Pelodiscus sinensis: one gene and its partners. The protein of the gene in region 2 interacts with the protein of the main gene of each other region in a pairwise test. Links are inferred from orthologs where the notes say so. Each region holds a gene or a part of one and is shown on either strand. Other genes may lie near its edges.

Evidence for each region. The genes of interacting proteins can lie anywhere in the genome.
Region 1: the proteins of CDR2 (region 2) and TCHP interact in binary tests that used the Homo sapiens proteins (3 or more experiments, as listed by UniProt). The two-hybrid records come from large-scale screens. The link is inferred for Pelodiscus sinensis from reciprocal best matches to the Homo sapiens genes CDR2 and TCHP.
Region 3: the proteins of CDR2 (region 2) and PKN1 interact in binary tests that used the Homo sapiens proteins (3 or more experiments, as listed by UniProt). The link is inferred for Pelodiscus sinensis from reciprocal best matches to the Homo sapiens genes CDR2 and PKN1.

What each region holds. Positions count from the first base shown.
Region 1 is NC_134725.1:37,852,041-37,855,640, forward strand, and holds the start of TCHP (trichoplein keratin filament-binding protein), read left to right. Parts: upstream 1-960; 5' UTR 961-1,112; intron 1,113-1,382; 5' UTR 1,383-1,452; coding exon 1,453-1,643; intron 1,644-3,052; coding exon 3,053-3,263; intron 3,264-3,600. UniProt on the Homo sapiens protein: Tumor suppressor which has the ability to inhibit cell growth and be pro-apoptotic during cell stress. Inhibits cell growth in bladder and prostate cancer cells by a down-regulation of HSPB1 by inhibiting its phosphorylation.
Region 2 is NC_134726.1:22,798,611-22,802,550, forward strand, and holds the start of CDR2 (cerebellar degeneration-related protein 2), read right to left. Parts: upstream 2,665-3,940; 5' UTR 2,483-2,664; coding exon 2,404-2,482; intron 1-2,403.
Region 3 is NC_134729.1:10,472,440-10,476,039, reverse strand, and holds the start of PKN1 (serine/threonine-protein kinase N1), read right to left. Parts: upstream 2,728-3,600; 5' UTR 2,611-2,727; coding exon 2,572-2,610; intron 1,065-2,571; coding exon 767-1,064; intron 1-766. UniProt on the Homo sapiens protein: PKC-related serine/threonine-protein kinase involved in various processes such as regulation of the intermediate filaments of the actin cytoskeleton, cell migration, tumor cell invasion and transcription regulation.

The DNA.
Region 1 (3,600 bases), on a different chromosome or scaffold from region 2:
TCTGCAGGCAACAGCGCAAAAGGGACTTTTGCCCGAATGGGAGCAGCATAGTATTTCCGCAAAAAGCACTGATTTCTTACAGTAGGAAGTCAGTGCTTTTGCGGAAATTCAAGCGGCCAGTGTAGACAGCTGGCAAGTTTTTCCAGAAAAGCGGCTAATTTTCTGGAAAAACTGGCCAGTCTAGACACAGCTCTCTGGTAAAATGAGCTAATTAAATGATCTGATTCCCTGATCTCACTTCCTTTACCCAGAGGCCTGATGAACTTCTAGTACTCCCCTTCCACCCTTCTGCGTGGCAGAGTCCTTGCAATCCCAACAAGGTCAGGATTCCTGGAGACTCAATCCTAACCTTGTCGTGATCACCTAGAGCTGGAGTTAGGGTTTGCCCATGTCCCAGTGCTCCCTTCACAGTGAACCTTTCACTGACCCACTGATTGCATAGTGTTCAAAGAAGACACTAGCATTCTCCTACTGCTCAGACCCTCTGGAGCACTCTTCTCATCCCAGTATAGCCCCTCTCTCTTCCTTCTAACCCCATTTCCAACTAAATCACAGCCTTCTACAGTGCCCCTAACCATAACTGCTCACCCCCTACTACACATGTAGATTTGCTAGTTTCGAAGGTGCCACGGGACTAGGTTCTTGTCCCCTGAGTGTCTTACACAGCGTCCACTGCAAGGCAGGGCCATTACAAGTACCAGGGACTGGTTAGTGAGGCCGTCACATGCCTCGCTAACCTGCCCCTGCGCACCCTAGGGCAGCTTTTCAGAGGGGGTGTCTGCTGGTGGCAGCGCAAAGCCGTGCAGAGTGAAGGTGCACGGCGCCCGTGTGAGCCCCACATGGCACTGAGGAGGGTGCGCACGACGGGTCTCCGTGCAAACGCACGGGGTTTGCACGAGGCCATATGGGGAAACACAAGGGGCGGGGCGGGGCGAACTGCGGAGAAGGCTCGGTCTCCTTTTCTGGCTCGCGAGCAGGGGCGGCGTGTCCCTCCCAGGGGCCCGTAGCCCCTCCCGGAAGCGTTGCCATGGTGTTGCGCGGCGGAACCCGGAAGTGGCGAAGCCGTTACAGCCTCCTCGCGGAGCTATCCGTCCAGAGGGAAGCCCCTCTCGGTAATGGCCGCTCGGGTGGGTGGAGAGTGGGGGGATTTGCCCTGGGGCCGCCACCGCCGGAAGGACTCGTTGGGGTTGCCGGGGCCGGTCGTGGGGGCGGTGCGGGGAGCAAGGTGCCCCCTGAGGTTTTGTATCCATGTGCGGAATAAGTTTTGTTCTGTGCACAGGGGGGACGCGCGGATGTGCACCACCAGCAGAAACAGGCTGCCGTGTGTGGGCGCTCTGCTGATCAGCTGGGTGGCACCTGAATCTCTCCTGGGGGCTTCTCAGGTTACAGGGAGCTGCTGTGGCGCGTGTGCCCAAGGCAGGGTCCCGGTGGCTCCCCCGCTCTGTCGCACAGATGGCACTGCCCACGCTGCCCTCCGCCTGGCCCAGTCACAGCAGTGCCCTGGAGAAGCGGATCGTGCGCCAGCGAGAGCAGGAGGCCCGCTGGCGGCAGCAATGGGAGCTGCACAGCCGCTATTTCCAGCAGTCTGGAGTCTGCAGCTCCAAGCAGAACCAGTGGGGCTCGCGGCAGTCCTACCAGCAAAGGTAACAGTGGGGAGGGAGGAGGGCCCTTAGAGTGTATGGGCCCTGCACAGTATTGTCAAACTGTGGCCACTGCCCCCAATGTCATGGGGGTGGTGGTTTTAAACTCTTCAGCAGCACACTAGTGCAATAGTGGTTTACACTCAAACACTCCTATTTAAAACTAACTCTTTAACTAATAAGCAGATGCTTATTGGTTACCAGTGTCAGTTACACACAGCGAAGCCTTCTCCCCCGGAGTTAGGCTAGCAGGGGCTGGCGGTCCTGCTCCCAAGGATGCTTTGCTGTGGGCTCTGCAGTATAAAGCTATAAAACACAACAGAAGGAAGGATTAAGCATCAAGCTCTGAATAAACTAAGCTAAGCTTTATACTTCAGAGCCCGCTGCTTGGGTAATCATGAACCTGCTTAGTTTTTCAGCAGTTAAACGATTACCCCATTAAGCAGATTTTTTTTTTAATATGTCTAGTTTTAAAGCAGATTTTTAAACTAGGGTCCTGTTGACTCGCACAGTAAATCTAGAACTTGACAGTATGTACCCAGAGTTGACAAATGCCTGTTAAATGGCTTTGTTACCACTTGAATGGCTCTTTCACAGGTTTGAGGTTCTGCTGATAGCTCTGGCAGGCTTTTGTAAGTTAACTAAAACCTCTCTGGAAGAAGTGAAGCCATGGAACAGGGATAGGAAGAGGCAGGTGGGTAGACATTAGGACCCAGAGGTGCCCCAATTTTTCAGGTGCCCTATACCAGTGTTTCTCAACCAGTAGTACGAGTACCACGGTATTTGAGAGCAATCTGGGGGGTACGTCAACACAACTGAAATGTGGAGAAAACTGAATTTTTGTTTTAAGATTTACAGCACTTTATTATTTTTGAACTTTTTACACTCAAAAATGTCATCTCCTGCCCGGCTACAATTAAGTTGTTTAAAGAAATGTGTTGCAATGGTAGAAAAAAATTTTGTTTGTCTGAAAACTGTAGGTACTGGAGGATACTTTTTTTTAAGGGGGTACTTTATACAAAAAAGGTTGAGAAACACTGCCCTACACAGATGCATATTCTGCATACGGGTAAGGCTGACCCTGTGGGGAGGAGGGTGGACAGCAGAGGATCACCATCACAAATGTTTTGGCTCTTTGGTTTGTGTTCTGGGCCCTCTGATACCAGACCATGGGGTATCACCATCATCTACTTTTTGTAATAAGGGCACAGTGTCTTGTAAGTGAGCATGCAAATGTATGGGAGCCAATGGGCACTGGCAGGTACAGTCTTAGTCTGGTAAACTGGGAATATTTGGAACAGCCAGTTGCCTGTATCATTAGACTAACACATGCCTCCACTGCCCTCTGTCTGGATTTTGCTAACTAGCTTACCTTGGGCTTGATGCTTCCTTCTGTTGTGTTTCTCTGTTAGCATGAACGCATATCACCGTCAGAAAATAAAGGAAGAAAAAAAAATCAACCTGGATCAGAGGCGAGAACAACTTAGGAAACTTTTGTACGAAGAACGAGAATTGCTCGCTGACGAACTCAGGGAGCTGAGACTGACCAAAGAGTCCAATATGAATAAGATCAGAGAGAGAAGTGATGATTTGAAATCTGCTAAAGAAGAGCGCCGGAAAAAGGTAACTTGTGAGAAGTGGTCTGAGGTGTGTATTTGTGGGATGGATGACTCATAGGTTGAACTGGGGTATTTTTTGAGGATCTATATTTGGTTCTTCCAAAGCTGTATTCACTTGGGCTACGTCTACACTGGCCCCTTTTCCGGAAGGGGCATGTAAATTTCACTAGTCGTCGTAGGGAAATCCGCGGGGGATTTAAATATCCCCCACGGCATTTAAATAAAAATGTCCGCCGCTTTTTTCCGGCTTTTAAAAAAGCCGGAAAAGAGCGTCTAGATTGGCCCTGATCCTCCGGAAAAAGTGCCCTTTGAAGTAGGAATAAGACCCTCCGGAAAAGGGC
Region 2 (3,940 bases):
TTTTTTACTTTGGGGAGGGGCAAGGCTAATAGTCACTTACACTTAGGCCTTTTTTTAATAAGAGAATACGTATATAATTCTATTTGACATATGAGAATCTCATAACCATCAAAGAAATGTCCCATTTGGGAGGTAGAACTTTTAAGCACAACACAAAATAACAGTTTGATACAAAGAATAATAATTATAATAAAAAGAAATCCAACTAAAGGTTATTCCATTTATTTTCATTCAGATCAGCCCAAAGGATCTGTACATTTCATGAGGAAGCTAGGTGATTCACAGAGACAGGTTTGTCTCTGAATAGTGACAGCTTTACAATGGATTGGAAAAAAAGTCTAAATCATTAGAAAATAATGTTAGATGGTTCACCAGTTTTTCCAGACAACAGCAAACTATTCATGGGTATGCGATCCTGTTAAGTTACAATCTATGAAAACTGCTGAAAACTGCTGTACAGCTATTCAACAGTTAGCAGAGATGGAATTTTTATTGTTAACTACTTGACTTTAGTATGAAAAACATGATTTTTTTTTCTACTTCTATTCTTTATAATGCAATAGGCTCTATCAACCCTAGTCATGTATCAGGATCCCACTGTGCTTGCCAATGTACAACCAAAACAAAAGAACTGTCCCAACCTCAAAGAGCTTAAATGAGGAATAGCTTAGAGAAACCAAGTTTTAATTAAATCTAGTTTTGAGGAAGCCCCTTCTCTGAGTTTCCAGTTCTGAACTGACCATTTAAGAACATAAATAGCTTATTTAAAAATAAGACTAAAATACCAATTTTAAATAGTGCTAAACCCAAAATAGTTTGTTCTAAATGCATTCCAATTAAAGCCTACTGGAGGTTCAGAAAATTGATAATGCCATACATTTTACTGCATACACTACTCTATACTACTATGTCTCAAACCAGCTTTATAAAGTTACATGGAAACCTACTGATGAAAAAGCACTATGGGTACATGTACACTACAGAGGAAGATTGAAGCTCCAGCTCTCGTTCTTCCAGGGTTTGAATTAGAGAGTGTAGTTAAGACAGCTAATTCAAACTGAGAGGGGCACTCTGGTCCATACCGGTAGTCCTGCTTTCACCAGGAGTAAGGGAAGTTGAAGGGAGAGTGCTCTCCCTTCAACTTCCTGCAGTGTAAACAGTACCAAAAGCTGAAATAAGGTACTTTGACTTCAGCTATATAATTAACATAACTGAAGTTGCATATCTTAATTTGACTTTGTCCTGTGGTGTAACTGTATCCTATAAGAGCTACATAATTATTATAGTATTAAGAGAAGCACACATATATTGGAATTAGTCAATAAATTTTCACAGTAAATTGTAAACAGGACCTGTGTAAGGAGGAGTTGAGAGCAGTAAATGACCCTCTATCCACAATAAAGTTAACAATGGTCCTTGTAGGACCATTGCTTTGTTTTGTTTTTAAGTTTCTTTTAGTTAAAGACTAACAAAAGACTAGCCCACTTAACACCTTTATTGTGCTCTAGTATCAGAGGGGTAGCTGTGTTAGTCTGAATCTGCAAAAGCGACAAGGAGTCCTGTGGCACCTTATAGACTAACTGAAGTAAGTGTAGGAGCATAAGCTTTCGTGGGCAAAGACCCACTTCGTCAGATGTGCTCTAGTGTTTAGCCCTTTAATTACAGACAAGCAGAAGGCGGTTGCAGGGTGTGGAAGCCCCTAAGGAGTATTCAGCCGCTCTATTTTAAGCAAGCACTGCAGCGAAAGCACTCCCATTCCCAAGCTGCTTTACGCCAAGAGGTGCAGCTTTTCACGGAGTGGCACACGCAGGACGCGAACAAAGTTAAGGGAAGAACCAGCTCCGAAGCCAGGTACACGAAGCCACTCGCAGGGTTCGTTTTGCACAAGTCCGTACGGCCCAAAAACCTCGCACGATACCATTGCGCCTCCCAGGGAATTGCTGTTCTTGGTTAAATCCCCGGTGCCCTCAGAAGCTGCAGGATGGCAAACGCTTTGCAATGTCAATGGTCACAAAGCCTCCTTCCGTGCGCCCCCAGCCTAACGATGTCTCCCAAATAATAACCCACCCCCGCGCTAGCCCCGGGGGGGCAACTGTGCCCTTCTGTCCTCTCCACGCCCTCGCCCTTTTCCTCGCCTCGCTCCCCTCAGTCGCTCCCCGCCCGGGCGCACACATCTTCCCCCCCCCCCCCCCCCAGCCACGTTTCCCAACTGCCCGCCTCACCGGGACTTACCTGTCCTCATCCCGCGCCCCCTCGGGACTTACCTGTCGCCCCCCACCCCCATCATCCCCTGAAGACGCCGCCGGAGGAGGCTCCTTCATCGCCTCGCCCAGCGGGAGCCGTTCGCTTGAGCCCCGAGCCCGCGTCAGGCGGGCATCCTCCGCGCGGAGCCAGGCTGCTCACCTTGCTGCAGGTCCTGCTGGTCGTACCAGGGCTCATCCTCGCGGATTTCGAACTCCTCCACCAGGCTGTCGGCCAGCATCGCGGCCCCCCGAGGGCTCCTCGCGCTCACCGACAAGCCTGGCGCGGGGCGAGCCGGGGACCGTTCAACTCCTTTAAAGCCGCGGCCGGACTTTGCCGAGCGCTTCCGGACTTAGCCGAGTCCCCCCCGCCTCCAGGCCGGGCCCGGCACCGCAGCCGGCAGCAACGTGGCATGGGCAACCGCCCTTTTACTACAAGGAGAACGATTATTCAAAACGGGCACTCTGACCTCCCTGCCGGACAACCAATCGCACGCCGCCGTTAGGGGATCGACCGGAACGCCGCCCAATCAAGCGTTGAAAGCTTCCACTCAGCCAGTGGAGTGGGGGGAAAGGTGGGTTTGGGCCGATTAAGTTCCGCCCCCCGAGATAGGTGCGCAGCCTCCAGCCGGAGGGCGGAGCCAAGGAGTCGGTCAGTACGTGCTGGAGGAGGGGGTGTTGGAGTGGCTGTCAGGGGTTAATTCCCGGGAGTAGGTTCCTGGGCTGGAGGAGGGGGAGTTGAGGAGAAATAGGGGTTGGGAAGGATGGGAGCCGGGGCTAGGCGGGCTGCAGCACCCCAGGTTTACAGTCTGGGTCAGTTGCTATCCCCACTATAAAATAGTTCCAGCGCTCGTAGGCGGTGGGCATGGTGAAGTACAGAGAGGGGTGGGGCAGCTCTGAAGGGGTAGGAATGGGAGAGGAGTACAGAGGGATGGGGGAGCTGTGGGGTGGGACAGGAAGGGGGAGCTATAGTGGGAGGGTGGGAATGACAGCGCAGTACAGAGGGTTAGGAACAGGTGAGTCCAGGGGGCTCATAGGTGCATGCTGTTAATAGTCCCCGAAGTGATCTCTGTCTGTGTGTGGTCCCTAAAGCATCCTGGGGTCTAAAGGTATCAATGCTTGGTTCTGTTCAAATGCTTCCAAACAGCATTGCTTTCTGTAGCCAAGTGTTTTTATGGCAAGCTTATCTCAGGCCACAGTGAAGCATGGTAGTAGCTGCTTCCATGTTTGAAAATAATTATCCGAGACAATACCTAGAAATTATGTAGTACTTTGCAAAAATTAAAGGTCTATGAATGAAAAGAAGGGTAATCTTTATCCCACTTTACAGATGGGGAAGGATGGGACTGTGGGAGAAAGGAAGAATGATTTGCCCAACTCTCAAGAGAGCGAAGGTCTCCAAGCTTCTAGTTCAGTGAACTGTCCACTAGATCCTTCTGTGTACTCATTGTCAAGCCCAGTTCTCTGGTGTTAAAAAGGAACAATCCTTGGTAACTCTTAGAAATTGGGTACTCTAACAGTTTGTAAAGGGGGACATTGTTTCAAGTATTCACCTTTCTGCTTATTCATAATCATGCAGATGTTTTTCCCTTCCATTTGCAGTTATGTCTCTACCAATTACAGTAATTGTTTACATCAGAAAGCATGGGTTTGTAGCTACATTTTAATGTGTTTAAAAGATGCAGGGGGGAGACTGACCA
Region 3 (3,600 bases), on a different chromosome or scaffold from region 2:
GGAGCTGGGTCTGTGAGCCCCAGGGCCTGCACTGCCCCCAGCCCTCCATGGGGCCAGCTCTGCCGTGCAGCCCGGATCCCCATGGCAGAGCAGTTCTATGGGCCCACCTCTCCCGGTATCCAGTCTCTGAGGGTGGAGGCTGCCTGCTACCACCAAAGATGGAGGAATCCACTCCCAGGGCTGGGCCCTCCTGCCCCGACAGCTGGCGAGTTGGATGAAGAGCTGCCTCTTGGCACGAGCACTGACACTCTGACCCCAGAACCCAGAGTGGGGGCTCCTTGCCCACTCTGTGGGTGTTCAGAGCCTCCTTTCCCACCCCAGACCCCAGACAACCCCCCTTCCCCCACCCGCCGCCTGTTTGAATTCTGCCTAACTCTTGGCCTCACCAAGACCTAGTGGCGAGGAGTTCCGCTGGTTACTGCTGCCAGGGCTGATGGAGACTCGTCTGGGTGCTATTTAGCACCTGCTGCCTTGTGGCTCCCTTTCTGCTTCTTGCATTGCAGCACAGGAGGAAGAGCAGTGCCCCGCCCCAGGCACCCCTCTGGGAGTCTGTCTGTCCCAGCCCCAGGCACCTCTGTCCTCCAGGACGGACAGCCCTGAGCTAGCAGCATCTCAAGACCCCCTAGCGCACGGAGCCCTGAGCCGCCGGGCTGGGTCCACTGGCATGGACCCCCCTCCTTGCCCCGTGTGACCCCGCTGGGGTCCGCCAGCAGTGAACCCTGCTCCCTGCCCGCCCAGCACCGCCCCCCGTCTCCCGCCCCCTGACCTCCACTCTCCTCCGGCTCCTTGACCATGATGTGGGCGTCCAGGTGCTGCAGCTGGCAGTGCAGCTGGTGCAGTTTGCGGTCGGAGCCGCGCAGCAGGCTCTCCACGCTGGCCAGGTTGCGACGGTCGGTGGTGGCCCGGCGCAGGTTCTCCGCCCCCTCCTTAATCTTCAGCTCCTTGCGGATCTCGCGCCGGATCCGCTCCTTCTCCTCGTCCAGCCGCTGCTGCACGCTGCTGGCCGCCAGGTCGGGGCTGGGCTCCAAGGCCAGCTGCTCCAGCACCGACCAGACCTGCTCGCCCTGCAGGGGAGAGAGCAGGTGAGGGGGCCCTGCAGCGCCCAGCCCTGCCCGCCTCCTCCGCTGCCCCCCTCCGGCCTCCTCCTCAGCTGCCCCCTCGTGCCCTCCTCCTCGGCTACCCCCTGCTGGCCTCCTCCCTGCCACCCACATCCTCAGAGGCCTCCTGCCAGCCCCCTTGGTGCTCCCCAATAGTCCCTCTCTGCCACCCCCCTCTATAGCTGCCCCCCAACAGCCCCTTGACAGCCACCTTTACAACTGCCCCTACAGCTCCTTCCCTGGCCCCCCACCTGCCTCTCCTGAACCATGCCTCTGCTGGCGCACTGACCCCTCACTTCCCCCCATGCGGATGGACTCCCCCATCCTAGCCCCCTGCCCTGGCTGGGAAAGGGGCTAGGGGTTCCCGGACAGGGCTCAGCCGGAGGAGCGAACGTGATGCAGCCACCACATCAAGGGAATGCAGCTGGCACACCGGAAGGGCGCAAGGGGCTGGCCCTCTGTGCCCAGCAGGCAGGGCTGGTAGTTCGGGGCTGATCTGGGTGCATCTGTCCCTGGTCAGACCCTCATGGGCTGCCGAGCTCACGGAGGGCAGGGAGCTTGGGGCTGACTGGCTCCTCTACAGACAGGCTGCACTCCCAGCGCTCAGCCCCGAAGTGCCCCAGCTGGGGCATGCTTGGCCACTCATCCTAGAGCCCAGCGGGCACGAGATCCAGCCACAGCAGCCCTGGGCCTCGGCTCCCCCATCCGGGAACTGGGAGACCAACCCGGGTCTCTTCCCCAGGGAGGAGGAGGGGGAATCCCAGTCGGGTTGGCAGTGCCTGGCCCAATGGGAGCAGGGCGATGCCTGTCGGGCTCGGAGCAGCCTCTGGCACCATGACGGGGCACTGGGGCGGGGTGATCCCAACGGGGGCCCTACTGAATGAGGACAGCACCAGCATCCCCACACTCCGGGCTGGGCCAGGATCTCTGGGGAGGAGTCCGGGGGCTGGAAATCTGCCTCCAGGATGTTCCCAGGGAGCCCCATGAGCTCCCGGCTCCCCTTGCAGGCCTGGCAGATTTCCACCGCCCGCACCCCCGGGACGAGGCGCCTTGGTTAACGTCACCCCGGGGAGCCGCCCTGGCTCGGGGGAGGGGGGCTGGCTAGAAGATGTCAGGGGGGCCTAGATGGGAGTTGAACCGTCCCTTCCTCTCTGCCCCTCCCCCTCGGCAGCTTGCAGGCAGCTGGCGCAGCAGCAGCCATGGCGGGGAAGGAAACGTACTCTGCCCCCTGCATGGTGCACCAGCCCCACCCCGGTTCTCAGGCCCGCCCAGCGCCCTGCCATGCAGAGCTCTAGGACCAGCTGATTCCCCTGCGCCCCCCAGTCTCTGCAGGCAGCACCAGCCCTCCCTGTGAGTCCCCCCCCAACCCCACCGGCCCTTTGCCATGGCTGGGCCACCGTCCCTGTCTCCACTGTGCCAGAGCAGCGGGCTGGGGCAATTCACATCCCCGTGGGGCCCCCACCCAGCCAGGTACCTCCAGATCTTGCTCAGAGCAGGAGTCTGACTCCGACATCCTGGCCCGGGGGGATCCAGGCCAGGCCAGGCCCCGTCCGTCCTTGGGTCTGAGCTGGGCGACACCCCCCTCCTGTTGTTCGGAGTCTAGCCCCCCCCACCATATCACAAAACCACTTCCCCTTCCTGCACCTCACAGCACTGCCTCCCGCCACCCGAGCGCTGCTGGACCCGCCCCCGCCCGGCCTGGGCCCAAGGGGTTAACGGGAGTGAGAGCCCCCCAGAGCCAGGCTGAGCTTGGGACTGACTCGCACATGCCCCCAGGGAGACCCCCTGTGCTCCAATCTCCAGGGACCATACACCCCCACCCCCCAGAAGCTTCCCAGACCATCTCTTGAGTCATCCCAAACCACACGCCCTGGCGCTGCTGCCCCCAAATGCTGCACACTGGGCCCCCTGACAGGGGCCAAGCTCCCCCTAAAAACACCCCAGGGCAGAGCCTCCAGGCCCCAAAACTGGGACGTTCATACATGGATGTCTGCTGAACAGCCCCTGCGCCCCACCCCAGAGGTGGCTGCATCTCAGCACCAGGTGAGGGATCCCCAGAGGCTGGTGGGGGGCACTCTCTCTTCACCCTGATCAACTCAGTACTCGAGACTCACCAGCCCTGAGCTGCCCCGGGGCAGGCAGCTTTCTCCTGCCATTGACCCGGAGCAGGGCCGGCGCCCGCACGGTGTGGGAGGGGCAGCATCCTCCCCTGTGCGACCACCCTGCTCCCTCCTGCTACCAGAGTTCTGGGGGGTGCTGAGTGTGGGGAGGGGTCAGATTGGGTAACGTGCTGCCCAGTCCCCACCCCGGAGCTTCTGACAGGCCCCAGTAAACAAGGGGCGGGCTCAGCAATGGGCACTGAGCTGGAAGGCAGGACACCCGGGTTCCATTCCCAGAGCCGCTGGGTGACCTGAGCCCCTCCCACCACTCCCAGCAGCACAGCGCCCCCTGGTGTCCCTCTGGGGAACCCCCCTTGAGCTGCCCAACACACCCCTGCAGCACA